2 linked regions of the Schizosaccharomyces pombe genome follow. The protein of the gene in region 2 interacts with the protein of the main gene of each other region in a pairwise test. Each region holds a gene or a part of one and is shown on either strand. Other genes may lie near its edges. The genes, in order: gef1 and hob3.

Region 1 (17,208 bases), on a different chromosome or scaffold from region 2:
TCGCCCTGAATAATTTCAAAAACTATGCGCAAATAGTTTATTAATAATATCAGATTATCCAACGCATTTGTAGAGCAAGTATTAATCTATGCAAACTCATTTGTGGGATGGAGCTTTTGCGTTGGGGTGTTAGTATATCCATTTTTTCTATCAGCTTTTTATTCTTAGTCAATTTATGCCAATACAAAAGCCAATTTCAAATAAAATGAAAAAAGACGTTTATTCAACTAATTCTGCTTTGGTAACCTAGTATTGTCATTACGAAGTGAAATCAGTTACTCTTCTGTTCTGCGTGTGTCGGTAGGACTGTTACTTACACCTATATCACATTATTACATGTTAAAAAGTATCTTCCAACTTTCATACTCCATTTCATTATCCTCTTATTAAATGAGTAGCCATATTTCCTGACAGCATTGGAGTATTTTCATACACAAATTCCTTTTCTGTTTACATGTAACGAATATTGGGAACAAAGCCAACCTCCAACGCATTTCGTTGACATTAATAGAGAATACAAATTCTTGACTCAGAAATTTTAAGAAATACTTCAAAAAACGATTATTTTTTTGTAGGAGATGCCCTCCTCAGACGTATGTAAAGCTGGTAGTCACAGGCATTCTGGATGGATCCAAAGTCTCAAAAAACCAGGGCCTTTCAACTTGGATGCTCCAGAAAACCCTGAAGAAACTCTTAAGTCTGCCTTTTCTTCTAAAATCTTAATTATTGGTGCTGGTGGTCTAGGATGCGAGATTTTAAAGGATTTAGCATTATCTGGATTTCGAGATTTAAGCGTAATCGACATGGATACTATTGACATTACAAATTTGAATCGACAATTTCTATTTAATGAAAGCAACATTGATGAGCCGAAAGCCAACGTTGCCGCATCAATGATTATGAAACGAATCCCTTCTACGGTAGTAACACCTTTTTATGGGAAAATTCAAGACAAAACAATTGAATTCTATAAGGAGTTTAAACTTATTATATGTGGCCTTGATTCAGTAGAAGCTCGACGGTGGATCAATTCAACTCTCGTGGCCATTGCTAAGACAGGAGATCTTATACCGTTGGTCGATGGCGGCTCAGAGGGCCTTAAGGGTCAAGCCCGAGTAATCATTCCAACGATAACAAGTTGCTATGAATGTTCATTAGACATGCTTACGCCTAAGATTTCGTATCCCATATGTACATTGGCGAATACTCCTCGATTGCCGGAGCATTGCGTCGAATGGGCATATTTACTCGAATGGCCTCGAGTTTTTCTTAATGCTTCAGTTGATAGTTTTTCTAAGCAAGAAGTTTTTGAACCGCTGGATGGAAAAAATTCCAATTTTGAACCAGATAATATCCGACATATTGACTGGCTCGTAAAACGTTCTATCGAACGTGCCAATAAATTTCAAATACCCTCTTCCTCAATCAATCGTTTTTTCGTGCAAGGAATCGTAAAGCGTATCATACCAGCGGTTGCGTCGACAAATGCCATAATTGCCGCGAGCTGTTGTAACGAAGCATTAAAAATTTTGACGGAAAGCAATCCGTTTTTGGATAATTACATGATGTATGTCGGTGAAGATGGAGCGTATACATATACATTTAATTTGGAAAAGAGATCAGATTGTCCTGTTTGCGGCGTATTGTCTGAAGTCTATGATATTTCAGCCTCATCTACCGTTACTTTAAAGGATATTTTAAATCATTATTCTAAATCTTATAATCTACAAAATCCTTCGGTTTCAACAGCTGCAGGAACCCCTCTGTACTTGGCTTCACCTCCAGCTCTTCAAGTTGCGACATCTAAAAATTTATCTCAACCTATATTAAGTATTACGTCGGTTGATGTGAACCTTGTAATTACTGATAAAAATCTTTCTACAAGTTTGTCTGTTCAGTTGAGAGAATGCTAGATTTGATGTTTATCAATCGCTAATAGACTGTGGATATTTTTGTGTAGAATAGCAGTTTCGCTGCATTTCAATATACTTATAAATTGAAAAGAGATATCACTAAAGAGATAGAGAATCTGCTTCACGCTCCTTACTATAATTCCTTGCTTATTTATAGTTATGTCATTTCAACTTTGTTTCAATGTCTTCAGTTTAACGACATCTCAAAAAAAATATATAAGTTGAAAAGATCTTATTTAATTTTAAAAAAAGAAACAATTAAACCAAATCAAAGTTATTCAACTCTAAATTACAAATCTACAACAGACAACAAACACGAAACGTATGCATACAGTTAGGTATTTAGCATATATAAGCATGCAATGTGCAAAGTATATTGCAAAATAGAAAGTAAATCAAATGCTTTAAGTTAATTTTATTTGCCTTTTTTTATGCTATTAATTTTATTGCTACGAGCATTGTCATTGAGTGATAAAAACATGCACTGCCCTTTGTTTAGGCATTTGCGACATTACTTTTCCATAAACAATTATTTTGATTCATGTTGCAAAAACATGACTTTTAACGACCGAATTTTCAAAAATTTTCATCGGAATAAAACAAGCGATATCATTTAGCAATAACATCAACAGAATTAGTATTTGCTCAGCAGCTATTAAATCCGCCTAAATAAAACAAGTTATTACATTTTCAAATAAATAGAAATTAAAAATCGTTCGAAACAAAGCAATAAGTCTTTTTCCCAAAAAAAAAAAAAATCGATAAATAAATTAAAATTTTCATTTTTGTAATTATTTTATTCGTTTACGTAGGTATACAGTAGAAAAACATGATTTTGCTCTCAACGGATATTTGACCGTGGACATACATTATTGACGCTTTTCTTACTACTAAGAGCCGGTTGACATCGACTTTCCATGAATGGAATCCCAATCTCGGAGACGAGAAAAACCGCATGGTTTATTATCAACTTTTCGCATTTATGACACTAAAATTGTTGCTTATGATAACGTAGAGAGGGATTTGTTGCTGCTGATACTCACTGGGGATTTACCGCTATCAATAGAATGGCTCACTAGAAAAACAATTATTTCACTGATCCGCCTGCAATTATAGACATTACTTTATTGATAGGAGTATTAGGAGAAAAAAAAAATATCAGTCCGGAACAGCTTGTATTTGGTTGAATCTGTTAAATAAATAAATATATATATATATATATTACTGCAGATACCGAAGCATGTAAGAAGCGAGCTTTTTTTGTCACAACACACCCGCCATCTGCACGCCTTTCTTAAACATTCACCATTCTCTGCTTGAATTGAGGAGATCAGGGTGCTTTTCTTCATTGCATTAATTGAACGATAGTGCCAATTTACCAAAGTATCAATTAATTCGGGCAAATCATTGACCCCTGGGAATTATCTCTGGAAAGCTTTAACGGTTGCTTGAGATTGGTGATCCTCTTGTATTTATTGTAAAATCTCAACTTTTGGTGTGATTTTACCGTTACTTTCTACCTCATAATTGCATTTGTTTGACATTTATAAGGTATCTTTAGCAAAGTATTTGCGAGTATTGGAAGTACTGTTATCGTCTTACATTCTAGGCTGTATTGGAAGTTGCAAGTGAAAAAGTGTCTTTAAGACGTACATTTTTTGTATATTCTTGATTCATCCTTCATTCCTTACCAACGTTGTCCTTTTGAGGTTTAAGATCTTTCAGCTTGCTTTTGTACTTGGTTTTAATACATTTCCATAGCTATTTAAATACAGAAAAGTTTACAGTTTCATTTCATCGCTTAACTGGGCCCTTTTATTCTCACTGTGTTTTCCCTCTAATGCTTTTAATTTAATTGATTGTTAAACAAACTTTTCTACCTTCAAAGTCTTGTCTGTTTTTTATTTTTATTTTTTTTAAAAAAAATCGCCTACCCCATATTTTCTCACTCATCTTATTCGTTGGGTGTCCCTTAAAAAAACTCATATTTATTACTTTTGAAGACTTTAAAAAAATTAATAATCCATGCCCACCCATAGCCTTAATCAGAAAAGAAGTTTGCTTTATCCTAGTATTGACAACGGGTCGGTCCCAGACTCTTCGTTCCTAAGTCAAAGCTTTAGAGATACTAATGACATTCATCTTCTGTCAGCTCGGTTGGCTTCTGTCGAAGTGGATCCCGAAACTCTTCCTTCAAATTCTCCAGAAACGAACGATGATGTTTCCAATTATGACTATATGTCTATAAGCTCGTACCAACGTGCACATTCTCTAGCCTCCACTTCTCGCAATGACTTTAATTATCGCCCCTCTGAAATCAATGAGACAAGACCTTTGCTTCCGGAACGTGAAGAACATTCTTCTCAACTGCCACCTGCTCAGAATCAGGTACTGCCTTTCCAGTCACTGAACGCTCCCTCTAAAAAACTGAGAGGTCGCATTTCGCTAAGCAAGATCTATCAATTCTTCTTCGATGATAAAGGTCCCATCTTATTTATCCTTAATATACCTGCTGTCATCATTGGATTACTCCTTAATATTTTGGATGCTCTCTCTTATGGCCTTATTTTATTCCCAATCTCCGACCCTCTTTTCAAAAATTTGGGGGCCGATGGCCTTGCTATTTACTACGTAAGTTGTGTTGTATCACAATTAGTATATTCTCTTGGTGGCTCCTTTTTTAAAGGAAGTGTGGGCTCAGAGATGATTGAGGTAATTCCATTTTTCCATCAGATCGCTTTCACCATCCTGAATCGTGTTGGTGAAGACAACCCAAAGTCCGTTATTGCAACTACAATTTTGGCGTATTGTTTATCCAGTATCCTTACTGGATTGGTGTTTTTTATTCTTGGCATCCTCCGACTTGGTAGGCTTATTGAGTTTTTTCCTAGACATATCTTGCTTGGTTGTATAGGTGGTGTTGGAAGCTTTCTTGTTCTTACGGCCGTTGAAGTGTCTTCTAGGTTAGAAGGAAGTGTTTCATTTAATTGGGCTTCCCTATCTGCTCTTTTTCAGCCTATGACGTTCGCAAAATGGTCAATTCCTCTTTTTCTCTCAAGCGCTTTGGAATTTGCTCAACAGAGGTGGCCGCATCCATTCCTCATTCCTTCGTTTTTTGTTATTGCCCCGGCTATCTTTTACGTTTTAGTTTGGGCAATACCAGGCATGAGTCTAGAGTATTTACGTGAGACCGGATGGGTTTTCTCTTCAACTGAGACTAACGTACCTTGGTATCATTTTTATAGCTTGTTTAGTTTACGTGATACTGATTGGAGCGCATTGTTAGCCACTGTTCCTGAAATGTGTGCTTTAACATTTTTTGGAATTTTGCATGTTCCTATAAACGTTCCAGCGCTAGCTATTTCACTTGGGCTCGACTTTGTAGACACTGACAAAGAACTAATTGCTCATGGAGTCAGCAATACATTATCTGGCGCTGTAGGCAGCATTCAAAATTACATGACATATACGAATTCTTTAATGTTTATTCGATCTGGAGGTAACAATCGCTTGGCAGGTATTATGCTAGCTTTGGCAACTGTAGCCCTTTTAGTTATAGGTCCTGGAATTATTGCCTATATCCCTGTTTGGACTGTCGGGTGCCTAATTTATTTACTCGGTATTGAACTTCTAAAAGAATCTTTATGGGATCCCATTGGTATAACCACTAAAATCGAATATTTTACTATTTGTGCAATTGTTTTCACCATGACTGTTGTGGATTTCGTTGTTGGTATTGTTATTGGCATCATTATGGCATGTGTTTTCTTTGTAATTCAGGCTTCAAGCCGTTCCGCTTTACGTGGAATTTATTCAGGTGGTATTGTTCGTTCTACGGTACGTCGTCCTATGAATCAACAACGATTCTTAAATGAAATTGGAAGACAAATCCAAGTGTGTAAACTCTCTGGTTTCTTATTCTTCGGTACTATCAACGGTGTTGAGAAAAACATTGCTGGATTGATTGAGGAGCTGAATGTCTCAAATAATCCGCTTAGATTCCTTATTATCGATTTTAGTCTTGTTAATGGAGCAGATTTTAGTGTCGTCCAAGCATTTCTACGCATTCGTCGTATGTTAGCGACTATGAATGTACAGCTATGCGTCTGTGGGTTGGATGAGACTCGGTCTTCCTTCAAAACATTGACTACTATGTGCTTTGGCGGCGATGATAATTGCGGTTGTCAGGTCTTTGAAGATGTCAACTCTTCATTGGAATACTGTGAAAACATGTTATTAGATGACTACGACGTGTATCGCACTAAACTTTTACACAAGGCAGGGTATTCACATACTTTAGCTGTGCCCGGAAAACACAAACAAAACATTTCAATGGCTGAAACCTTTTCACCATCACCCAGACACGATTTGCTAAGGCAAGTTGCTATGTCATCGGTCAAAGCTGAAACAAAGGAGTTATCGAAATTCGAAAAGTACGCCAAATACGAACAACCTTTCCCATTACTTATGCAAGTGTTTGGAGAGATTACCACTAAGCGAGAAGATTTTTGGCTTGGGCTCTGTCCATTCTTTAAAAAGGCGTTCTTGAGAAAAGGAGACTTATTATGGAGAAAAGGTGATACACCTTCAAAACTTGTTATTTTGGAAACTGGGATGGTTAAGGCTTCGTACCAAATGGATAGAGAAAGCTTATCTGAAAATATCACATGTTTGTGCGTTGTTGGAGAACTTCCATTCTTCAGTAAGACATGCTATAATGCCACAGTTGTAGCTGAATTAGATTCTGCTGTATGGATTCTTGACCGAGAAGGATGGGAGACTATGTTGAAATCTTCTGACAAGGCTGAAGTCATTGAAAATGAAATGTTATATTTAACTTTGAAAATGACTCGAGACAAATTTAATGTATTTACCAATTTTGCTCTAAATTTGTATCGATAAAATTGTTCCCAATTTATCAAAACAATAATTCTGCATTTTGGGTCATTTAAAAGCATAAAAATAACACCTGAAGAGGCTTGTCATTTAATTATTGAAATTGTTTTTTTGTTAAAACATACTCGACGCTTGATATCTTTTGTCAATCCCTAATTGCCTAATCAATTTATTTTGTTTATTAGGGTAATAAAATTTATCTTCTAATAATAAAAGTTATCGTTCTTATGCTTTTTTTTTTTTGCATTTGTTCATGATAGTCGTTTTGTTAAGCAGGAATAGTTTATACTTACTTTAATACTTTGAAAAGACTTCGAAATGTTAAATTGAAGCATTCATTTTAATAATACATGCTTACAAAAGGATATTGTTTACCAGTTTCTATTGATAGTTGGAAATATAATGTCCAAGACTTATGACAGCGCAGTAGTTTGTAACTCGTAATCTAAAGTAGCGAAAATTGATCTCGTTAAAAAATTTTATTACAGATGTCTTGAGAACTACATTATACTAATGGCTTGTCTTCTACAAGTTAGAAAATCATTAAGAGATGGACAAGCACACTCCTCTTCTTCCTGGCGACAGTGTTTTTTCACGTTGTAAAACTGAAGATAGTCGTATCAAAGGCTATGATCCAGTAATTTCACCTGCTTTAATTCAATCAGAATTAGCAGCCTCTGATGAAACACTTGCTTTTGTGTCGGATCAAAGACGCCAAGCCGCCGATATCATTGCGGGACGTGATGATAGACTTCTTCTAATCGTTGGACCCTGTTCTTTACACGATCCTGTTGCCGCCAAGGAGTATGCCATTCGCTTGCAAAAGGAGGCTATTAAGCACAAGAAGGACTTGCATATTATTATGCGCGCCTATCTTGAAAAGCCTCGTACAACTGTTGGATGGAAAGGGTTGATTAATGATCCCGATTTGGATGGATCTTATAACATTAATAAGGGTATTCGTGTCGCTCGACGCATTTTTCTGGAGCTTCTGGAAACTGGTGTCGGTATAGCGTCAGAGATGCTGGACACTATAAGTCCCCAATATTTAGCTGATCTAATTTGCTGGGGCGCTATTGGTGCTCGTACCACTGAGTCCCAATTGCATCGAGAACTTGCTTCAGGGCTTTCTTTTCCAATAGGTTTTAAGAATGCTACTGACGGTAACATTGGTATTGCTATAGATGCTATGAATTCTTCTGCCAACCCTCATCATTTCTTGTCTGTCACAAAGCAGGGTGTTGTAGCCATTGTTACTACTACAGGTAACCCTGATACACACATTATTTTGCGTGGTGGTAAAAGTGGGACTAACTTCGATGCTGATTCAGTGGCTGGTGCCAAGGCTAAACTCGAAGAATGCAACAAGCTACCTAGTATCATGATCGACTGTTCTCATGGAAACTCATCTAAAAACCATAAGAATCAACCCAAGGTTGCTGCTTGTATTGCTGAGCAGGTGGCAAACGGTCAGAAAGCAATTACTGGTGTCATGATCGAATCTCACCTTAACGAAGGTAAGCAAGCTATACCTGAGGATGATTTGTCAAGTATGAAATATGGAGTCAGTGTCACCGATGCTTGCATTGGTTGGGACGACACTACCGCCGTTTTTGAACAGTTGGCTGCTGCCGTCCGTTCTCGTCGTTCTCATTAACCTATAATGAAGGTTATTGAGACAGTTTTATAAAAATAAATTTTTTGGTTTCTTGTATAATAAATTTGTATTTGCCGTAATTAACAGTGTGACTTTTAAAAGGTTATTTATCGTACTTATCATTGCACTTTATCGGATGGTTCCAGACTGTTTCATCGTAAGTATTTTTATTTACGTTTTGGTTTTACTACGAATGTAAGAATTTGACCTGTTTTTGTTAGTCAACTAGGATAAATAACGACGAACAAAATTAATTCAATCAAAACCTAATTACATATTTTAAACATAAAACATAGTTAAAGTGAAAGTCAAATATTATATACATTATTAAAGCATATAAATGAAAAGTGGAAGCGTATGAACAAATAAAATGGCATAACAGCAGAAAAGCCAAAACGTTCCTAGTTTAAAAAAAAAAAGTGAAAAGACAATAATTAATAGCTCGACTTGAGCAGACAAAAATAATGAGATGCATAAAAGGAAGGCGTAAAAGCGTTTAGAATCCTAATTTGAAACTAAACTTAACAGGCCTCTGTGATAGACAAAAAAAGACCGTTAAAAGAACCTAAACGAATTGTAATCAGACAAACGCAGATATTAGGTTAAATAAATGTAATTGTGATGTTAAATACATGGAAGCTGCAAAAAACCATGGTCCAGAGAAACGTTTTCATCATTCAAGTAACATGAATGCAGTATATCTAAATGTGTATATATATAGAACAGATAAAAAATATTCGACTAAAGAAGTTGCTCTTAAACCCTCGCAGCTAAAGAGACACTTTTCATTAATTCCTCCAGCAATACCTCGTCATCATAATGCATGGGTTCAAAGGCTCGAACTAACTCTGCATAATCTTGCGTTTCTTCTAAGATGCTATCCCTCATGTCTTGAGGGATAAGAAACAAGAAACCTTGAGCGTAGTTTTCATAGAGAGAGCGTTGAATACCAATAAAATGATAAACAACACTGTGAAATTCCTTCTCAACAAGAGTAGAAATTGCCTCAAGCTTTTGAGCAGGAATCACAAATTCAGCGCTGATAATGAACTGAATAACTTTTTGAATCACTCGTAGGATATTTGTGATTGGGTTAAGGATAGAAGAATTTAAAGACGTTTGTATTTGAGAAGGAAGGTTAGCAGTCATCATGTGCGCAAGTAAATGATACTTACGCCACGTATCTACCGGCTTGTCTTCGGGCTCTAAAGCACTAAGCCCTTCAAGCTCTGCTAAAACCTTTTCAAAAACCGAAAATCCACGATGTACAGTAACGTACCACGTTTCCAATGTAGCATGTAAGGCTTTTAATATAGCGAATCGTTGTCGAAAATCTTGAAGCACTTGGCGTTGAAAATTCAATCGAGCATCAGTTTTTAACTCAGTAGATGTAGTGGTGGGCCTAGATTTATTCGATGTTGCTTTATAGAGTAAACTCCAAGCAGCGTCTCGTTTATGAGAAGCACTTAACGACCCACGCTTATGAGAAGGCTTCTGCTTCTGGTTTATACCAGATATTAACTCCTGTAATAGTTGATAAGAAAGGACCAAATCTGGGCGCTCAGAACTACTTTCAGGAGTAACATCAATGATTTTTTGCAATAATAGGGGGTACTTGAGTAAGCGCTGTAAAGGTTTAATTATTAAACTACCCAAATCCCAGGCGTTCGTGTATTTTTGAACTATTTTATCACCCTCCATAATCCAGGATGCAGTTGCAGGTTTCTCTCTCCATTTAGTGATAATTTTGAAAACCGAATCTTGACGGTTGCAATAACCAGTATAAATTTGACCGATTTCAGAAAGGCTTTCTAAAAAAATAAGACCTAAATTGCAAGGAAGAGGATCTATAAGCTGGGTATCCAAGTTTACACGCCAGGAGCCTTCACCAGCTTGATAAAGTCGACTATGGAATTCCACAGTAAAAGTTAATAAAGACTCTATATCGCCAAAAACTGTTTGGGCGTCAACTGGATTCAATGCACTGCATTCTTTGACCCGCAAGCCATAACTTTGTTGAATCGCAATGAGATCGTTTAAATAGGCAGCTTCAGTAGTAACCAGCTCTTTAATCAAATTTGCACGCTTTTTAATACGCTTATATTCTGGATTGATAGAACTGGCTTCAGACATAGCAAGAGATTCCTTTGATAAACGCTTACCTGGTGTGCTCGGTAAAGAAGTAGTGGCATACGAAATTGTTCGGCTGAGAGACTCATCAGTTTCCAAGGCCAAAATAGTAGAGTCCAACTTAGTAGAAAAAGAAGTAGTATCAAGAGGTGAAAGGAGGGACGCTGTAGACGAATGAGAGGAAGGCATACTTGCCAAAGTCACACTGGAACGCTTTTCTTGTTCATCCGTAGAGCTACCAGGTAGATACGCCGAAGTCCTGTTACTGCTAGTTTCAGAGGAATTCTGTGCCATAAAAGACCCTAGGCCGCTAACTCTTCGTGAAGTTCCATTGCTACTCGTGTTTGTATGTATTTTTCGAAGTGTTGTAGGACAGTTATATGATGGGGAACTAGGCAACGAAGGCAAAGTATATCGGCTAGACTGAGCATAATCTTGACGATTGCGGTCCCCATAAATACGATTAGGGGTTAAAGTAGAACTATTAGAGGCTGTAGAATCCCCATTTAATGAGTGGCTCATGTTGGAGTTTGGCAAATTGAAGGAGCCCTCCGAAAAGAATCTTCGGTGCTGAGACGATACGGGAGGAGTGTTTGGAGTTTGGGGATCTTGTAAAGCACGAGCAAAGCTTGCTCGAGACCTCCTTCCACTACTCAACCTGTATTCACTCTGTGATTCTGAAACATCGCCATCAGTGTCGTCTGATTGTCGGTAAGAAAGCGAATAACTGTTAGAAGGAAGGCTTAAATTGATAGATTTTCGTTTAATACATGCAGCTCGATGAAGCTTGCTTGTTCCAGGCAATCTTGGTAAATCCCTGTTTGCCAAGGTTTCAAAGTACTCAGGCTGATCAACATTGTTAACACATATACACACATTCAAATCAAGTATAAGGACATACGGAATCGGACATATCCGAAAGATCTGCTTTTAAAGTCTCCATATTGAAAACATTTGGAGAACAATAAAATGAATGACAATTTTGGAAATTTTGTTTACATGAATTTTATTAGGTAACGTTGTTGGTAAAGCACAGGTTTTGGAGATTTGGCGCCAACTTCTTCTTAATCCACTTTCAATACCTTCCACTTCCTTATCTTCATTACCAATGCATAACGTAATCACCCACGAAAAATAGTTTGCCAAAAATAGGCTTGGCTCAGCTTTTTGAGCGCCAACCGCGGACAGAGGCAGTTTACCTTTGTACTTGGTTTACAAATGGTTGCTTGCACAGGTACATAGTAATATGACTTGAGTATTCGATTTTGTGATAAACATTTACGTATTTACAATTTGTAATATAAGGTTAAATTTATTCATGTCTCCCTTTATGAAATTCTAGAAATGACAGCAGTTAAAATAAATTCCACTGTTACGGTTACAAGTTAATAAATTTGTTATTTCATTGTTTTAATTAGCTTAAATATTTAGAGCGGTTTTGTTTTCTTGGTAATGCACGTAATTTGCTTTGTTTTTTTTTTTTTTTTTTTTTTTTTTTTAATAAGTAATAAACATTAAAGATGTATATAAACAGAAATGAGAGAGAAGCGGCAGTTGATTGTCTTACATAACTTTGGTAAACACTGTATAATTTTAAAAGAAAATTTTTATTTTTTTTAATAATTACTTGAGGCTAATACGCTGCATTTTCTGTCTGTAGTACTTTTTTTCATATATTCAAAAAATCACGATATCTAATACTAAGTGTGTATGATAAACAGACCTAGTCAAAATTCCTAAATATTCTACGGTGTTCACTAAAAACAAATATAATGTTTCAGTAAATTAAACTAAAAATACTATTAATCGACAGGCCATAAGAAAAATATATATTGTAAAAAAAATGGAAACTTCCATTATATCTATTAAGATTTCTTCTAATTTCAAAAAGGAAGTGTTATTAAATCCTTTAACTTGTAACTTCGTTAGCGTCCGACATAGCTAATCATGCTTATAAATGGTTTGTTAAAATGCAAATGAGTAACATCATTAAAAATGATAGAATTAAGAAAAAAAGAGCATTAGTGTCATATAACTTGCAGCAGGAAGATTTAGAAAATATATAACAACATGTAAAGCTAGATAGCAAGGTTTTCAATTAGAGTCTTCAAAACTGGACACCAGCGCACACAATTAGTTACAACACCGGCACACATAATTTCTACAATAAATGCCTTCGCCTCACTAATGTTTCCTGTCAACGCCAAGCGACATGTTTGCGATAATTTTTGTAGCCAAAAGCCTTCCATGTTTTCTAGTTGACCTTGTAATAGTAAATTCGTTTTGACTCGTTCACCCAACATCTTATGAACAGAATCACTAAGATTTGATTTACTTTCTATAATTTGCAATAGGGAGTGCCTGACATCTTCACAAGAAGCTTCGTTCATACAATCGTTTGTTGTATCGTTAAACGTGGTAAAGATATCATTGTCACTGCTTTTCTTCATCAAGTTGAGAGGATTACTGCTAATTTGAGGAACAGAGATATTCGTGGGAGGAACAGATATACTCCTGTTCATAATTTTTGAAGGTGAAAAAGGAGGAAGTGGTGATTTACTAAGTACTTGACCAGCTAACGGTTTGGGTGCCAGCATGTCATCACCATAAACCAAACGTCTACTCGAAGCCGATTTCTTTAAACTTGATGTGGAAGACGTTCGTTGAGTTTGACTTAAAAAGATACCAGAAGAAGGATCGTTCCAGTGCACCTCAATTTTCCCAGTTTGATGTGAAGTCATGTTGTGTTGACGCAAATAATGTTGTTCTATGTTTAGTTTGTTTAAACGAACGAAATAAATAAGAATCTTTCTATCTCGACCAAAGAAACTGGCTGGTGTATTCCTTTATAGCAGTTCAAGAAGGTTTGTGGTAGTGGATAAGAAGAGACGAATGCAACATTGCCATATATCACATGTTCAATAAGGTGATTTCAGCAGCGGAACTATTAAAAACAACGGTAGTAGGAAAAAATGGTAAGGTTATTATAATAAGGATAAATATAAGTACTTAGAGCATCAAAGTTCGTAGCTGACGAATAATATCGACATTTTGGTGTAGTAAAAATTACCTACTCAGTTTTTACAATAGCGCTGAATGTGCAACGTACGGGAATATCATAATTAATACAATAATGGATTTCAAATAATAAAGGTCAGCATATTGCAATGGCTCCGATGTTTGAATAATTATCCATTCGAGCGATAGAAGTAATTAACATTTAATATCCGTAGAAGCTCAACTACCATCTAAAGCCTGAAAAACTTAATCAACGACCTTCTATTTAAAATCCGTTTATTACCTGAAGCAGCTTTTTTACAAAACAAACAACAAATTCATCATATTACTCATATGAAATAAACTGACACTACAATCTTACATAATTATAATCTACACATTAAGTACAATAATTAAAATTTCACAAAACAAAATTAACCACTATGCAATCAAACAAACTTCTTTATTAGGCAGATAGAAGCGGCTATGAAGAAATCCCATTTAGAAATGTATAGAAGAGAATGTCACACCTGCTTAATTTACTCTTCTTCGGCTTCTTCTCCTTCACCGCCCTCTTGAGAGCGGAGACGTTTTCTCTTGCAGCGACCAGGACGACCACCACCATAAGGAGAGGAGAGGGCAAAGTCAATGTGCTTTTGAGTATCCAAACGGACAACAAAAGAAGGAACATTGACAATTTGCTTACCAACACGAATGTGACGTTGGAAGATCAACACACGTGCATGATGGATAGACTTAGCCAAACCAAGCTTGAAAACTTGGGTCTGTAAACGACGCTCCAAAAAGTCTTCGATACGAAGTGCCAAGACATAATCGAGCTTCATACGAGTCTCATCCAAAATACCCAAACGAACAAGACGACGAATGATGGCATTACCTTCAAAAAGACGCTTGGGATCCTTCTCATCAAGTGTCAAAAGCTCACGGGCGGCACGACGAATCTTGGAAAGGGTAAGAGCCACACGCCAAATTTCATGTTTGTTTCTCAAACCGTATTCACCAGCAAGCTTGAGTTCGGCATCAAGACGAGCCGACTCGAAAGGACGGCGAGGGACCTTGTAAGTCTTGGATTGCTTGCGCTAATTTAATGTTAGTAATACTCTTATATACACTTGATTACTTACAGGTGCGGAAGGCATTTTCGTGGTGAGAAAAAGCACACCGTGTTCATTAGAGATGTGTTGTGGCTTGTGACTGTCTTCCAATATAGGGTAGGGTTTTTATTTTTATCGCAGTGTTGTAGGACTATACTTCAACAAGTTAATTTGTTTATATGTAAGAATTATGCTTTTCTCGATTTGATTTAATTTGTTGTAAAATATGCCAACTTCCAAAACGTTGGTAACGTTTGTTACTGTTGTTGAACCGCAGTATCATTATTTCATTGATGTTTTTCATTTTTCTTTTTTACTTATACTTATTGAGAAAATAATTCAAAAAAATTTAATAGCTGATTCATTGTGTAAATAAATATCGTAATCTTTAACCTGAGAGACTATCTCATACCCTCCTATATGACTTCATTCAAGATACTACACGAGCTGAGAAAGATTTTCATAAAATTAAGTAATTCATCAAGGACTGGCTGATTTTTTTTTAACAGGTGTTGTAGGGACACACACGAACAATTGAGCTTTGTTTGATTTGTGAGCGGGGGATTCAGTAACGATGTGATTCTCAACGGTGCAAGCAGAAGCTTTATCTAATGAATTCATTTTTATAGGAGTGTCGGGTAGTTCAGTTATTACAGAAGAACTTTTTCGCGGAGTAGCTTGCACTAGAATTGAATCCATCGAAGGTTCTGAGCGCTTAGATACAGATCCCTCGAGAATGCTAAGTGTTTTTGACCGAGAAAGAGAAGAAGTTGTTTTCGGCTGTACACTTTCCTCACTTTGTCCTTGTAAGCTTGCCATGGTAAGTTTCTCAGTAAACGATAAGTTTCTTCGTGGAAAATTTGTAGAAATATCATGCATTGAGTTTCTTTGTTTTGACAAAGACGAAGAAGGAAGGTTTATTTCACGGTTCTTGATGCGAGCTATATCGGAAGACCTTCTTCTAGTGTCCCTCTCAAAACCATTGAATGAAGAATCTGACCGAGTCAAAGAATGAACCCCAGAATTGCTTCTTCGACGTTTAAGAATTTCATAATCCTTAGAGATAGAGGCCTCCGAATGAGGACTAGAAGTATTGGATATACTGGCACCAGAAGTATTTCCAGGTAAAGCGCGACCGGCTTCTGATTTGCTACTAATCAATTTTGAACGAGGAGGAGCGCTATGTCTATGCTTATGAGAGCGTTCTGGTAATAAATCTAAACCGTTACATTTCTCTAAAAGGTTGCGCGTAATTCGAGGGAATTTAGAGGAGTAATATGGGACTATTGTCTCCTTACAAAACTTCAATAAGAGATCCTCAGATCGTTCGGTAGCATTTTGTTCTATAGTCCTTCGTATGCAAAGCCCATCAAATGTAAATTCCAATTTTAATTGAGCAGTTTCAAAAGGATTAAGCGTTTTTGCGTTTTTTTTCCGAGATTTTCGTTTACCACTATCGCGAGAATCCAACAAACTGTTATCATTAGCCCGACGCCTTGCGTACTCAGGATCCCATTTTAAAAAAAGGTATAGAATCTCAAAGTATAAAAGTACACGAATTTCATACTCCTTCAATTTCAGTTGGGAAAACTCCCTCTCAAAGTCAAGTTTTGTAATTTGACAATTTTCTCGATTTAATATGTTTTGAAGCCAGAGGCGATAGCCTTTAATCTCATACTGATGGGCTTCATTTTCGAATTCCAAATGCCAAGCCTTATAGTTTAAATGTGATTCAAAACATTGAAGTAATCGGGATTTACGGTCATCGACAGATTTAAGATTATCTAAAAATTTTAACAGTTCATCAACTAGAGCTTTTTCTTCTACATGATTGTGTACTTCAACTGCTAGTTGTCGAGTTTTTCCAACCATTTGCTTTACATAAAAAACAACAGGTGTTTTGGTCATCAATAGTTGATAAAAGTAGGAATTGTAAAGATGGTCCAACAAAGATTTAACGTCACGTGAACAGCTAGGAGTATAATCTTGAACCATTTCAGTAACGGAATCATTTGCAAATTCATGCGTAAGGGAATTGCCATCTTTTGAAGACGAAATAAGATCATGCGTAACGAATGAATGCGGAGCTTGGCTTTCGCGTTCGTTTGCTTGAGAAGCATCTGATTGAATTCTGTGAAGTTCCTTTTTTAACAAACTAGGTGACATTAAAGAGTTCGAACGGAACAATTGATCTCCTAAAGGTTTGTTTGAGACGTTGGACAAGCTTTTAGAGGATTTCGTTAATTGATGATTTGCTATCACCTTCAAAGACTTAAAATCCAATTTTTCTGAAAGAAAAATCAAGGCATAACGGCTCCCTTCCACATGTTCAATTCCAACAAGTTGATTAGCTTTCGAACTTTTTACACGTCCGAGTAAAACACTAGTGCCAGCTGGCCTTATAACTATGAATTGTAGTGATGAGCAAGTAAACTCGTGATATTCCTTTGAAATGCACCATCGCAGGCAAATACACTGCCTTGGTACAGTAACTAAGGGC
Region 2 (16,005 bases):
GACTAGCGAAAATTAATTAGTTTTTTAATACATTTTATTGTGAGCGACAGAAGTATTTGGTGATTTAATTCATTTGGCGTTGTAATTTAGACAACAGGTGAATAAATAGATGTAGAGTTAATACTTCAATCCAACCCTTGGTTTAACTTTCTAATCACACTAATTTGAAAAGAACTTAGAAATAATATGGATTTTTTTCTCTGTATCATAAAGCTATGGTTTTAACATATGCAGCATGGTTTACAAAAGTATAATAAAATGTTGAAATCTAAATTCCTTAGTGGCAATAGATTAGTCTGAAAAAATAAAGAGAAAGTCTTTATTATAAATTGATATGGGTTAATGTGGTGTATTACAGAAGCGATTAATCTAACGTGCTACGCTCAGCATCTACATGAACTGAGCGCACTCATCTAAATATTTTTGTAATTGGTAATAAGCAGCAATACATGCCTGAGTTTATACGCAAGTTTTGTAACAATCATTGGTGCGATCAATTTTTGTTTTTTGGTTAGTTGCATCGTTACTTCTTCCGCTTTTTTGTTTTCATATTTTTGGTTTTTAAAACACATCGCAAATTCAATCAAGTTGCGAAATTTTTCATTCTTTGATATTAATTTTCTTACAACCTACTTAAAAAACTATTTCCTTTTGGTCGAGAGCCTTTATATTGGCTATAGTCTACTTTCTTCAAAAATGTCTGTTGAAGCAGGATGTTCAACGCTATCTAATCCTCTTAAGAAATTGACTTCCACAGCTGTTGTCAATAATTCAACACCTTCAGCTCAATATCGAAAACATTTAACCAAGTCTCAAAGTCGTACTTACGCTCCTTTGCAAACGCTGTCTGAGGATCAATTCACATCTTTCAAAAATCTCCAAGGAAACAATAGTCCTTTAGGTAATGTAGTTAAGAACCCAGTTAGCTTAAAAACTGGAAATCATACCGGCACAACTACTCGTGGAGGCTCGAAAGAAAATTGGGTACATTCTTTTTCTTCTCTTCAGCAGCAGAATAGTAAGTCGGCTTGGACATCAGAATTCTCTGAAGTATTTCTCAATTCATCTGAAAACGACCGTTTTCGAAACTTAAACCAACCTTTAAAACAATCTTTTTTTGGTTCCGCTGGACTAAATTTATCTTCAAATACTGAAATACCCTTACAAAGTTCTTTAGCTATTGACGAAACTGAGTTGGCTAAGAAATTTGAGGAAGCTTCTCAAATCTCCAATAAATTAGAGAAGGAAAAGGATGCTACTGGAAGTAAATCAATTGAGGAGCTATGGGAAGAGCATCAAAAGCAATTGAAAAACGCCGGGCTAGAGCCCGCAAGTTTAGAGGAATACCAGAAACAATGGGAAGATTTTTTAAAGTCAAACAATATTTCTGACGATCCTTACACTTCGTCTGTGAATAGCTTTGCTAATGATAATTTAGCTCATAATAAAAACATAGATCCTCAAATTTTCCAGCATAGCGATACTGATAACGTTGTTGAAAACTCTTTACAAACGGAAGATGTATATTCACAGAACCAAGATGAATCTTCAGAGGTTGTGAAAGAGCTAAACGGAATAGATCCATTTGTTGAAGCCATGAATTTAATAAAAAATGGAGGATCTATCTCGAAAGCAGCTGTGTTATTGGAACAATCTGTGAAAGAGAATCCACAGCACTTCGAGGCCTGGAAATGGTTAGGTCGCATTCATACTCTATTGGGAAACGAATCGCGGGTTGTTGAAGCCCTACTTGAAGCTGTCAAATTGGATTCAACCAATCTTGACTTAATGATGGATCTTGCTGTGTCTTATGTTAATCAGTCTCTAAATGTTCAGGCATTGGTTTGCTTAGAAGACTGGATAGTCAACAGTTTTCCCCAATACCGAAACAGGTTTGCAAAGATAAACGAAAGGTTTGAAGAGAAAGATTCTGCTAACGATCTCTTGAAAATGCAGATGTATTTCTTGGATGTAGCTTATGAGTTATCACTTGCTAAGAAGCGTTCCTCCAAGGTACAAGCTGGATTAGGAATAATTATGTATATGTTGAAGGAGTATGAGCGTTCTGCAGATTGTTTTCGGCAAGCTCTTCAAGACGAACCAAGTAACGAAATATTGTGGAATAAGCTTGGTGCTGCTTTAACAAATGCAGAAAAAAATACTGAAGCTGTTTCTTCCTATAATCGGGCAGTATCTCTACAGCCCCAGTATGTTCGAGTTCGCTCAAACATGGCTGTTTCCAACATCAATTTAGGATACTTTGAAGATGCTGCAAAACATCTACTTGCTGCAATTGATATTATACAAAACAGTTCTACCTCAATGGAGAGCTGCGAATCAAATGAGGAACTTTGGGAAATGCTTCGCAAAGTATTTTTGATTGGATTCCAAAGTACTGATCTTGCCTCTCAGTCCTATCCTGGAGCAAACACTAGTTATATACGAGCCCAGTTAAGTGATCTCCAAGGTTGGCCCGGTGTTGAGCTCGAATAAATCTCTTAAAGCAAACGTGCTTAATTCATTTTTCATGTTATTATTTATTTGGTTGTTTTTTTTTTTAAATTTTTTGTCTGAGGCATATCTTTTAGAGGACGTGCAAAAGCTACTTTTTTTTTGTTGCACAAGAAATGAGATAACTTACGCTTCAATATCTGAAGCAGAGAACAAAAGTAAAAGAAATCTTACTCTATGCTACCAAAGTTACTATTGGTATGCAAGTTGTACCTTTCTTGACCGTTTATACAATGGAAATTAGATCTTCAGTGATTTGAAAACAGATGTTATTGTTTACTTTTGTGAGAGTGCTTCTAAGCTCTTTGTAAGCACAGTTTTTTAAGTAATCCAACATTGTATTTATTGACGATAATGAGACAATGTTTAGTATTAATTGTTCAATAGCATTCGCATAAAATTCGAAGTCTCACTTTTTTGTTTAATCATTTGCTTTTATAATCTCAGTTTATTTAGATATACTGATGCGTATAATAAAGTATTTGACAATTTTCTATATTTTGAATAATGAAACTTAGTGTACCAGCATAAAGTGCTGTATGGATATTTCTCTCTCGTAAGAACATTCTTCAACTAAGCAGGTTGAGTACCAATTTTGACCCAATTGAAATCATTAGTTTTTTAATAAATTAATCCCGATTGCTGGTATTTATAGAAGGGGAACAGTGTCAAAATATGAGTGAGGTCCATCAAGAAAGTGAAGTAGAGTACAGTCGTTGGAAAAGAGAACGCTCTCCTGGTAAGTTGTTAATGTTTAGTTTGATAGAAATACTCATCCTTTTTTTGCATAGAACGGAGTCAAAGACGTTCACAGAGCCCCCCTGGTGAACAGTCTGCGTATCATCGAGAACGGTCTCCTCTACGAAAGCGTGGTAATTACTATGATGATAGAACAAGAGGTAAGAATAAATATAAAATTCTATGAATTGACCTATTAACTACAATACGTCTAGCTTCTGGACCTTACCCTACATTTACTAAACCGTAAGTTACGACTAAATAAATACTCTACTCGATGTGAGTGAAAAACCAAAGTTTTCTAACAAGGAGACTAGTTTAATTGATCCATATACTCAAACAAATGCGGTTTCTTATGAACGGTTTATTCGGTGGTATAGCAAGGAAAACCATATATCCGCAACAACTGAAGACTTATACAACTCGCTTCATGGAACTTACAACAATTATAAACAGGATCTATACGCTAGGACCGCAAGAAGTTTTGTTGAGAGCCATTGTGACGAAGCTTGGTTTGAAGACAGCTATTGGGTGGACGAGTCACAAGGAAGAGTCCTTGAAGTGTCTGAAAATGAGAAATCTTATCGCCGGGCGTTATACGATAAATTCATGGACAGATTAGACGCCGGTTATTATGATGATTTTCAGCTTCCAACCGCTGAGGATGTAATCGAAAAGCCGTCAATACCTGATAATGATACAGATGACTCAATTCTTCCTTCTAACGACCCGCAACTTTCCAAATGGAACCAAGACTCTCGAAACGATGCAATGGAAAATACACTATTGGTCAGTCATGTTTTGCCCAACATCTCGGTTGCGCAAATTCATAATGCACTCGATGGTATTTCGTTCGTACAACATTTTTCCCTTTCTACTATTAATTTAATCAAGAATGATGAACGCTCACTTTGGGTTCATTTCAAAGCAGGAACAAATATGGATGGAGCTAAAGAAGCGGTGGATGGGATTCAATTGGATTCAAATTTTACTATTGAATCTGAAAATCCAAAAATTCCTACTCACACGCATCCCATACCTATTTTTGAAATCGCTTCTTCTGAGCAGACATGTAAAAATTTGCTAGAAAAACTAATCCGTTTTATAGATCGGGCTAGTACGAAGTATAGTTTACCAAATGATGCTGCACAACGTATCGAAGATCGATTGAAAACACATGCATCTATGAAAGATGACGATGATAAGCCGACGAATTTTCATGACATTCGTTTAAGTGATCTGTACGCCGAGTATCTTCGCCAAGTGGCTACTTTTGATTTCTGGACTAGTAAAGAGTACGAAAGTTTAATTGCTTTACTGCAGGATAGTCCTGCAGGTTACTCGCGGAAAAAGTTTAATCCATCCAAAGAAGTCGGTCAAGAAGAAAATATTTGGTTGTCAGATTTGGAAAACAATTTTGCTTGCCTTCTTGAGCCTGAAAATGTGGATATTAAAGCAAAAGGGGCATTACCCGTTGAAGATTTTATTAATAACGAATTGGACTCTGTTATTATGAAAGAAGATGAACAAAAATATAGGTGTCATGTCGGAACATGCGCGAAGCTTTTCTTAGGACCTGAGTTTGTCAGAAAGCATATAAATAAAAAGCATAAGGATTGGTTGGATCACATTAAAAAGGTGGCTATATGTCTCTATGGATATGTGCTTGACCCATGTAGGGCTATGGATCCCAAAGTGGTAAGCACGTCGTATGTATCCTTACAGATTTTAAACAAGCCCTACGTTGGTTTCAGAAATATTAACGCAAACTATACATTTCCAACAACAAGCTATAGTCGACGAAATGACGAGGAGATAACTTCTGGAGCATCATCACAAAAATCTTATTCGAGGCAAGAACCCATGATCCACAGACGGGAATTCTATAGAACTTATCAAGATTTGGATGCGCCTAACCAGGAGGTTCCAGAATTAGATTACTAAATTTATGTTCTTAGTCAGAAAGATTTTTGGTTAATATCATTTCCTGTATAGACGTTACTAGCAGTTGTAGCTCCATACTATATTTTAGATTTTAAAGTAGCGATAATCTACATTCACAGCTATTGTAAAATTGAACGCTTAAGTCCATGTTCGAAAATCAAACATCGAACGCTGCACAGATAGAAATAAACCCACTTCCAACTTGACTTACAGCTTACAAGATAGCTATTGTTTGGAAAATTAATAAATTACAATTCAAATTAATAATTCGTAAGTCAACAAAAGCATTTTTTTTTCTAATTATTATATTTTAAGATTTGGTCTAAACTTACTTAACAATAGTTATTTATTAGAACAAAACTTGGTACGAGATAGAAAATAAGCACAGTTTAGTAGATGAATCGCTGGGTCGACAGACAATATTGGAAAACCAATTTGTTTATCTGATAATTTGATAACTATTCCCAATTAAAAAATTATAAAGGAAACGTTACGAAACTGAAAGGATGTAGAAGCTTCACAGTTGAGTCTTTAATAAATATGTGCTGGCTTTCCCTTCAATTCCAGTAACACCAATAGAAAATACTCGAGGATAGATAAGTATGGAAAATATTTATGTATCACAAAAAATTGAATAAATTGAAAACATTCCGTGAACCACTTCAGATAAACAAGATAAGATGGTAATAAAGTAGTAAAAGAGAAAGGATATGTTAAACAAAAAGTATTGAGGGATAAGAGATCATGGTTACGTGTAGTAACAATTATTTCGGAGGAGAAAAGGAAAGAGAAAACAGAGTGATAGCGCTATGCACACATACAATCGTGTTTAAAAAACCGATGTCTACTGACTGTTGTTCAAACCGGCGATGGAAAGATCCCGCATACTCTGTAAAACTTGTTCAACTTTATCATCCAACAAACCATTGGAATAGTCTTCGCGTACAGAGTTGTCAAAGTATTGCTGAACTTGAGCCATTTTCTCATATCCCTCCCTACAAAAGCGGAGCTGAATTTTGACAAGGGCTTCAAAGCTAGGGTCCAAATAAGGCACACGAAGAGCAATTAGTTGCGGAAGCTCACTGACCAGTTGATTATTGAGTGTCTCGTAGACCTCCTTCGCCATGGCTGCTTCTTTCTCGGTACGGGGAAGCTTAGTAGTGTCGTTGGAAGGCTTGTCGACCAGTTTTTGAACCTTAGCCCTCATAGCATCATGATCAAGTAATTTGTGATTACGCTTCGTGATAGCGGCATTAATATCGGGAAAGTAACTGCAGAACCTTGAGATGGGATCCAACACCGTTGTCCGGAAAGGACCGTCCAACTCTTTTACGGTATCGGCGTCCAAGTCTTCGACGACTTGTCGATAGTATGCACTGACACCATCCTTCGATCCAGCATCACCGTAAAATGCATCGATTGTGTTAGCGATTCTAGTTTGAGACGCAGTCATGGCTCTCAAAGCATCGAGATAACCTTTGGCTTCTTTTTGAAGCTTCTTTGCAGCTGATTCCATAGTTCTATAACGTCTTTCCTCTGTTTCAAATTCCCGATCCACCGTTCGCTCAACATGACCCGTCTTCATCATAACCTACCACAATGTTAGACAATTCTTCAACACTCAAATACATACCGAGGTACCCGCTCGGTTAACGGCCTTTTTGAATCCATGCCAACTCATTTTTGTGATATGGAAAAGAGAAGCGTCGGCATACCCAGATATCTTATGTCAGTTGATCGCTGCGCTAATGTTCGCTAGCTAAGCTGCATTGGATCTTTTAGTGGATTCAGCAGGATTCGCGTAGGGAACAATTCACGGAAGCAAAGCCATAACGTAAAGCCTGATTGCGAAGTTTATCATTGCGTTAAATAGAATAATGATAGTTTATTTCACAATGCAATTATAAAAAGATAAGGATGAAAAGCGTGTCGTTAATTTTGTGTTTAATTGATAGAGCAAGAGCATAATGGTGGTAAATTTGGGTTTCGAGGGTTGGCTTACTTTCATGTCACTATCAATAAATTACATCGCTTAAAAAATATATCTAAATTTTTCTTGTATAATCATCTGTAGTAAATCTCTGACTGCAATTAGAGGTCTATCCTCAGATAATTCTTGTTCACTAACTGCATCCAGCAGAAATCGCCTTATAAGGTAATATAGTTATGTTATAGTTTAATATAATATATCAATGTAAACATTTTAACTTGACAATATAGAGGTAATATCGTTTGCTCATAAATGGAAGATATTGTGGAGAAGCAATTTGAAATACGGACATTTTACCAACTTATAAATTTCATTAGAAGTGGTGGAATAAATGGTTTTGCATTATATGGATATAATGTTTTGAGGCTTCGACATGGAAAGACACGATTGCTACTTATCAATATATGAGATCATTCATGATAAAACTATAAAGAAAACGCTTTTCAGCGACATTTGAGCTAAAAAAACCCGGTCTCATAGTTTGCATCCTTACTCAAAAAGTGAAGAACTTAAGTTGTAGTAGTGGTGCATTACTTTGAGAGCTATTGTATAGCGATATTAGATATTGAAACAAGAACTCAGCCATTCAATGACAGTTTGTTTGTTCTGTGGGCAGTAAGACATCCAGATAATGCCCAAGAGAAAGATTCTTCTGAAAGTAAGAAACAAAAGCACCGAAATAAACCTTTCTTCTCTCTTTGTTGTCTTATCTAATTTTATAACTAAATTTGCCCATAAATCTCATCTGTGTGATGATAATTAACCGCATTTGACCAGCCCAAATATATTCTATTACAGAAAACAAGCGCTGCTACTAATAGATATACATAATTTTATAATATAATATTAATAATATAAAAAATTTAGTTGTACTGAAAATATTATCTTATGGAAAACTCCTTATAAACACTTTTTAGCGAGACACATCTACCACCACCTTACGCAGTATGAACACGTATTATACCCCAATACCTCGCTCCTCCTTCCCTTCTGTGACGTAATAGACGAGGTTATAAATATGGTGAATTATACATTCGAGTAGCTTCCAAGATCAAACTACAATTAAGTATTTCCTTTTATTTTAGTTTAGTATCGTATTTCTCTCATATCGATACTGTGCCCGTTTTTAAAATGTATGGAAGATTGAAAGATGGTTAAGCTTTATGGTCCAATTTTACTAATCTTCAATTCAATTAGAAGTTTCAACAACTCTTCTCCAAATTTCTAGTTTAATGTATGTCAGTTTTAATTATCAAACTTAACTCTAGCTACTCCATGTCTATTTGCTTAGCATGGTTTGAAAGACCTTTTGTATCTCGACATTATCTCTGCTGTTTGTAAACGAGCTGCATTAAGATTCGAAATACTTATGGTTTTTTAGTAGCAGTCGTTGTTAGTACTCTTTACATTCGTGGAATTTTTTTTTCCCGATTTCGCTAATCAACAGTAAACGATATTATTAAGTGTGATGGATTTGAACTATCAAGTATTCACTAGCATCTCCAAAAATTGGTGGTCCGCTTCTCTCGTTCCAGTCGCCTGCGGCTGGTTCATTGGGAATTCCTACAAGCCAAGAAAGGATTATGAGAACAAAAAGCAACCAAAGTTCCACCCCCCTGCATCTGCCTTTGGACCAGCATGGACACTACTATACCTAACAATGGGATATGCATCCCATTTGGCGTACAAGGCTGACCCTTTGATGATTACGAATGCCTCTCGAAATGGATCCATTTTATACATTGCACAGTTGGCCGCTAACTTTGCTTGGATGCCCTTGTTCTACGGATTAGCAAAACCAAAATTGGCTCTTGCCGATCTCGGCATTTTGACGGGACTTGTTGGTTGGCTTGCAAAGACATGGTGGCCTCTTGCACCAACGGCTTCCAAATGGTTAATTCCTTATTTAGCCTGGTTGGGATACGCTGGCTACTTGGTAAGTAATGTCACTAATTAAGGTTGATGTAGATCAAGAGAGTCAAAAGCATGACATGAGACAGTAGAATGTATTGTTGCATTTAAGAAAGAGCTTAAGCTGCACGATCAAAGTTTGAAAGAAACAGAAAAAAAAACACTAAAAAAACAATAACAGAAGAATCAGGTCGGAGAAAAAATATTATTGGAATAAGAAAAAGACAGCAGGAGGGATATGAGTTAAATAAAAAAAAAAAATTGGGCAGAACGAAAAAAGTCAAAACAAATTGATGGATAATAAATCGGTGACTAAAAAAATAATGAGTATAATATGATATGCAAAAAGGCCATGACTGAGTGATTTCGACTTGTTTCTTTCTCAAAAAATCACCAACAACATTGCAGTCCTAAATTGAACTTTGTCGGTAGGTCGACAACCTATACACAGTCTTGTGATTGTTTTGTATCTCTCTCAGCCTTAATTAGTTGACTACTTCATGGTTCCTGAAGAACCGTGTGAGGGATATGTTTGCTGACCAATTATCATAGAATCTTGGGTATTGCCTGTTAAATTAAGAGGATCGATATCGCTCGCTGGTAGTACAGGGAGACCTGTGGCTGTAGGATCATTGACATCAAGGTGATCAATCGAATCCATTGGATTGTGTGGTATAAAAGCTGCACCTGCAGACACGCTATCATCGTGATACACATCCAGACCAGGAAAAGCACTATGCTCATTTCCAGCTAGTGTAGATGAATAATCATTAGTACCTTTATGAAATGACCCTGGATGAGCAGCTGACGAAGTAGTAGTAGTAGTAGAGTTGTTGCCATTGGTAGAAGCTGTAGCAAAACTGCCTAGTTGAGAACCACTGGACATAAGATTCGATGTGTTTGAGTCGGTCTGTGGGAGCACTGTCATATCATGAGGCACTGGCCCCGAGGTGGAAGCGGTATTAGTGGGCCCACCCGACATGGCAATATTACCACTCATGTCTAGCTCGCCTCTGACATTTGGAGAAGTAATGTTGTTTCCAGAAGTATTGTTAGCAGGAGACATAGATGCTGTGGCAGAATTGATAGGAGCTGGAGACTCAGACGAGTTGGAGATAGAGCTAGGTCTTGAATCATTGCTATCCGCATATCCTTCAGACGTGTGAGTCACTTCAGAAGAAACGGTTGCAGGCACGGTGGCATCATTGGCATTTGTGGCATTAACATCGTCTCCTGTACTTCCTCCATTAGCAGCTGCCTCTGCAGCTTCCTGCGCTCTCAATTTTGATACTTTGTCAGCAGTCAAGAATCGGCCACCAGGACCACGAGGTCGTCGCATAGCATGCTTATGCCTTGATTCATGTAAATATGGTTTTTTCGTAGTCTGCACACCACGCAATCTCTCTTCTAACTTTGCGCGAGCTTCTCTACGTTTCAAAATTCGATGGTATTGCTTTGCATTCACGTAAAGCCCCTCGACCGGCTCATATGGATTCATTGGAAAATGACTATTCTTATTTCAATTGCTCTAACTATTGGGAGGATCTCAGGAATCAAAATTCTGCTCGTTACGGTATATTCGTCTCGTTGGTCGGTTGGTTGGTTTAGGTGGTTTGTAACTCCGCAGGCGCTAGCGACTACCAATGGTAAGCAGCTATTCTTTACATATCGGTAAATGTGTATAACGATTATTGTCGATCTTTCCAGGATTGCAAATAGTGAGGACGGCTTGCAGTGCATTTTGTCACAAACGAATATATAATCTTATGTACACATATGATAATGTCACTAACTGAATGGCATAACTATTTTCTTATGAATTGGGTTAAAAAAAAGCTAACAGTCGAAATATAATACAACAGAGGTTGCATTGTAGCGTATGGCACTGGAACACGTTATACCAAATATCTTTTTTAAACAGTTTTCAATGTTGTATGCGATGTAGTTGAAGAGGGAGACTTTTACCTCGTACAATATTTTTTTATTTGATATTATTAATAATTTACTTAGAAGTAAGCATCATCAATTCTTATGTACCTTTTAAAGTGATGTGTTTCAACGCTTTTATTTTGTAAACTTGCTGCTTTTTTCTAATTCTAGGTCATTATTCTTCTTTCAATTTATAAAATATCTTTTGGGTACGCTTTTTTGTGCAATCCTCTCCTTTCTAACGTTTGTTTACATATTGAGTATTAGGTAACGATGTTACTTACATATTAGTTGAAGATTTATTGTTTATACAACAACTCTTATTCCCACCACCTTTTCAGCGCACCCAGAAGTACCGTCTTTTGATCAGCTGTTAGCAAACATCTGTTTTGTTTTTTGATAATTTATAATGCTTAATGATGAACAAGCGTAAAAGAGTGGAAGAGCTTGGAGAGACGAAACATCGTCAAGTACGACAGCGAATTCTCCAAGAACACAAGAACGATATACTTGAAAATTTAGCATTTGAACGTAAGTTTTTGTACCTGGAAGTAGTAAAGTGTTAACGGGTATTTTTCAGTTTCCGATAAAGTACGACGTTTGCGCTCAAACGCTAGTTTACTTGCTTCAACAATTCGTATGCGAGGAGAAATGCGTATCGCCGCTATTCCTCGCGCTCAACGAAATATGCATCTGCGCGATCTAAAGAACCATCTTTCCTGCAATGTGTCTGCCACACCGTGGAGAACGTAAGTGTAATATCAAATTTTACTTTGCCATACGTACTACTGGAAACACTAATTGCTAATTACTATTTCAGAAAAATAAAAGAATTTTATAATCTAGACGAGCTTTCCTCCCAAAAGTCCGCTAGACAACCTACAAAAACGGTGGCATCCTCCTCTTCTTCTTCATCAAAAAGCACCACCGTTTCCAAATCGAGTTCAAAGTCGCAAGTGTGAAACCCTCATCTACTGCTTACTGTGATAAAATTTCACTACTACAAAGTTGGTATTCATAAACACTTCGTAGGATTCATTATCATTATTTTTAAAGTACATCATCCACACGATACCGAAATATTCTCATGTGAAGTCCATTTATTTCCCACTTTACTTTTGATGAGTAACTCATTCTTCTTGGGAAACTTGAACAATTTTGCGCATTCTGTCCATCACCTCTCGAAATATAGGACGTATTTCGTTAATTTCCATTGCACCCAAATTATCCAAAGTTAGTTGAACTTCATTAATGGCTTCCAATCCCGTTCTTGCTTTACTTTGTCTAGCTTCTCGAATGTCCAGCAAAATCCTCCTGATATCCTCAACATCCTCGATATCATCAGCACAGAAGTTTAACAATAAATGCGCCGTTTCTAGCCACCGAAAAGGCAACTCTGAGAATGTCTCGTTTTCCAATTCATCATCTCGTATGTTTTCAAGTTTGCCTATTTCCATCCATTCCGGAGGTACAATCCTTGCCAAATTTTGCTTTTTTAGCTCAAGAGCCAACCATAAAGGAACCCGACATTTTTTGGGAGGCTTCATAATGGGAATCGTCGCGCTAACTAGCGGCAATTGATCCATTGTTTCTGAAGGAACAATGTTAATATACTCATTGCCAGCTAAAAATTCCATTTCCTCTGGTGAGAATGAAATTTCAAGTTCCCTTGGTAAGGCCATCTCTATCACCAACGAACAGTACAAAAATGCCTATCAATAGTACCGTTTTTGGGCTTAATGTCTTTTTTTATTTAAAGTTTTGTTTTTCTATTTTGGAGTTCGTTTATAGCATTTATTGGTTGTTATTCCTTACAGCATAATTTTTTGTGTGGTGGGTTTCGGACTCATAATAGTCACCCTCATCTAAATCACATCTTGCTCTTAGGTCATCGGTATATGATTGTCAAATTTTTATATTTCTCGTTTTAAGGTAATAATTTTGAATGCAAAAACCTTCATTGTCACAAGACCTTATTTGGATATTGAAATCAGTCCAATCTCGTAGGTCTACGAAAGGGTTTTTGCAAAAACATTCTTCGCTTAAGGATGGCTCTCCCAACAAGAAATCCTTCGCTCAGCCAATATCGAGTTCGTTTTTAAACAGAATTTCTATTACCAAAATTGATGATGTGGATTCTTTAAGTGATAATACCCTATATGGAATTGGTCGAAGTATAAATAGCCTGGCACGTTTAGGGATTCAATCAGTGATTGTTCCCACTTCCAATCCAATTGGCATGACATCTCCTTTTAAATATTTGGAGAATGGTACGGTCGTAGCGAAAAAACGTAAACTTTCAATCTTTGAGGAGCTACAGCAACAGCAAAATAGAGTCATTCGAGTTTCGGAAATTTTTTCGAAAGCGGGAGTGTTAACCCGTCCTAGCTACTCCTCTGTATGTCAATTGGGCCCTGAAGGCCCTAGTGTTGAGAATGTGCAAGGTATTTTTCAAGCGCTGTCTTCACTTTACACGGTCATAGTGCCAAGCTCGATTTTAATGCCCAACGTCATTGAGGTTCCAATTGATGGTAATGAGGTTCTTGCTGGTTTAACTTACTCGTTACACAAGCCAAACTTTGGGTTTTGGGTAGACCGAATCGTCATTCTTGATAAAAATGGTGGCATGCCATGTTCTAAACGACAAACTGGTTCTAGTCATGTTCTCATCAATCTGGCTCAAGAGTTTGACGAGTTAGCGAAAACACTTCCACCTTATCATAGAAAAAATTTGATTTTGGTAAGACGCTGTTTGAAAATGTTACCGGATGATGCCTCTGCTCTAATCACTACGCCTGAGGATGCTATGCTTACAAATCCTGTCTTAGACAAAAATCCGTTAATTCACAATGTTTTGACGGATCGCTCTATTATTTCATGTTCCTTGCCGCGCGATCGATCTCCTATTACGAAAACAACTGTTTTGCGTAGCGGTGTACCGGTATATACATTCCTAGGTCCGAAATGTCTAACTGATGGCTCCGTTTCGTGGGAAAGGCTTTGGGTTTTAATTAATGACTCCTTTAAGCGAACGCTTGATATGGACGCATATTTAGATAGGTTGAAGAATTCGCTAGCTGCAGTCATTATTGCAGGGGACTATTTAGGGACAGCCATTGTAACTTATGAACAACCAGATGGAACAACGAATGAAAAGGTCCCTTATCTTGATAAGCTTGCCGTCTCACAAGGAGCCCAGGGTTCAGCAGCAATATCTGATGTTATGTTTAATGTTATGACTGATTTATTTCCCAAAGAGTTGATATGGCGCTCTCGCCTGACTAATCCAGTCAATAAATGGTACTTTGAAAGAAGTGTAGGCTCCTTAAAGTCAAGCAAAACACCTTGGAAACTTTTCTGGACTGGAGACTCACATGTCAGAAATTTGGATCGAGTGAACCAGTATATGAGCGTTATTGATAAAATTCAGCCAACATGGTTGAATTGAGTGGAAGTTAACGATTGCACTTTATCAGAGACAAGATTATTTCGCTTCTTCAAAAGCACTTGTCAAACTTTTTAATAAAAGGAAAAAAGTCCATTTTGATAGGACATTAATTCTCTTTTGCACATTAGATTATAGATTGAGTAGTTTGCCTACAAACTTGCATTTTTCTTTAGTTATGATTTTTGTTTATTCCCCCACATAACCCCCATGTAGAGCTTAGAAAAGGTGATACTAGCTTTTTTCTTTTGTGAGTATCAACGTTTATCAACAAAACTAGTAGTAAACATGTCTTATAAACTTGAGTTGTTGCGTCGTGCCTTAGAACATAATGTTTTGAAGTTTGGAACTTTCACCTTAAAATCAGGCAGAAAATCTCCATACTTCTTCAATTCTGGTAATTTCACTCATGGTGCCGATTTATGCGCTCTTGCAGAAGCCTATGCCGAGACTATTATCGCTATGAACGTTGATTTTGATGTCATATTTGGTCCTGCTTATAAGGGTATCTCTTTGGCTGCTATAACGGCCGTCAAACTTTATGAAAAAACTGGAAAGAGCTATGGATTTGCCTATAACCGCAAAGAGGCCAAGTCCCATGGTGAAGGAGGTAACCTTGTAGGCGCCGAAATGGAAGGTAAAAAGGTTTTACTTTTGGATGATGTTATTACCGCTGGAACTGCCATTCGTGAAGCAATTTCCTTCTTAGAACCTAAGCACGTAAAATTGGCTGGTATCGTCCTTTTGCTTGACCGCCAAGAGCGACTGGACCCCGAAGTAAACGAAAGTACCATTGGTAGATTGAAGAAGGAGCTTAACTTACCCGTTTCCTCCATCCTTACTTTGGACGACATTGTTGACTTTACCAAATCAGACTTAACTGCAGCTGAATCAAAGGCAATGGATGCTTACAGACAGCAGTACCAAGCCAAATGAGCTTATGGTAATGTTTCTTTTAAAAATTTGGAAGGAGGAAAGAGAATAATTGGATAAGTATCTTTTTTGGTTTTTAGCTTTGCTTTTTTAAAGAGAGTGAAGTTAGTTGGTATTTACATATGTTATAGAATTTTTTTATCTGTATATTTGTGGTGATAGATACAACTCATATTAGAAGGAATTTTCTATAAAGCGATTGCATTTAGCGGTATTCAAAAATTTCTCTATAATAGACGAAGGAAATTGGTTTACTTGTTAAGCTTTTGTTTTGCACATATCCATCTATCTTTTGATTAGTTCCGTGAATCTGTTTTTTTTGTGTTTGTTTCTTCTTTTGTGTTATTCGAATCTTTCCAAGATGACAGTTAGGAATGAAGCTACCAAAATATTGAGTTGAGGGATAATTAATGTTTCACAAAATGGTATTTGTGTATTATTTTTGTAAAAATTTGTAGGATTTGGTTTTTAGTGATGATTATTTACGTTCGAAAGACGCATATAATGGGCAATTATAAAAAATTTAGGATTTTATTTTTCAATTCTGCGACGGGTATTTATGCTCTGTGTTTGAAATACCAAATATTAAATAATGGTAAAACCT

The links.
Region 1: the proteins of hob3 (region 2) and gef1 interact in binary tests that used the Schizosaccharomyces pombe proteins (3 or more experiments, as listed by UniProt).

Annotation. Positions count from the first base shown.
Region 1 is NC_003424.3:461,361-478,568, forward strand, and holds gef1 (RhoGEF for Cdc42 (Gef1)), read right to left. Parts: upstream 11,631-17,208; 5' UTR 11,540-11,630; coding exon 11,498-11,539; intron 11,443-11,497; coding exon 9,223-11,442; 3' UTR 8,621-9,222; downstream 1-8,620. Other genes in the region: NEDD8-activating enzyme uba3, read left to right, coding at 579-1,913; vsb1 (sulfate transporter), read left to right, coding at 3,939-6,815; SPOM_SPAC24H6.10C (phospho-2-dehydro-3-deoxyheptonate aldolase), read left to right, coding at 7,360-8,466; SPOM_SPAC24H6.08 (uncharacterized protein), read right to left, coding at 12,675-13,337; rps901 (40S ribosomal protein S9), read right to left, coding at 14,133-14,693, 14,739-14,753; DNA replication pre-initiation complex subunit Sld3, read right to left, coding at 15,189-17,208. UniProt on the Schizosaccharomyces pombe protein: Has a role in the control of cell polarity and cytokinesis. Involved in bipolar growth, via modulation of cdc42-shk1-orb6 signaling, and septum formation. Stimulates guanine nucleotide exchange of cdc42.
Region 2 is NC_003423.3:1,216,323-1,232,327, forward strand, and holds hob3 (BAR adaptor protein Hob3), read right to left. Parts: upstream 6,884-16,005; 5' UTR 6,875-6,883; coding exon 6,827-6,874; exon of another isoform or gene 6,785-6,826; coding exon 6,038-6,784; 3' UTR 5,422-6,037; downstream 1-5,421. Other genes in the region: peroxisomal targeting signal receptor Pex5, read left to right, coding at 697-2,493; pir2 (C2H2-type zinc finger domain-containing protein), read left to right, coding at 3,187-3,250, 3,303-3,410, 3,465-3,495, 3,567-5,193; tsp0 (tspO-like protein), read left to right, coding at 8,652-9,119, 9,647-9,673; CCAAT-binding factor complex subunit Php2, read right to left, coding at 9,588-10,592; nbl1 (borealin N terminal domain-containing protein), read left to right, coding at 11,440-11,554, 11,604-11,772, 11,844-11,985; GINS complex subunit Psf2, read right to left, coding at 12,154-12,705; acetylglutamate synthase Arg6, read left to right, coding at 12,969-14,471; orotate phosphoribosyltransferase Ura5, read left to right, coding at 14,757-15,404. UniProt on the Schizosaccharomyces pombe protein: Involved in cytokinesis and septation where it has a role in the localization of F-actin.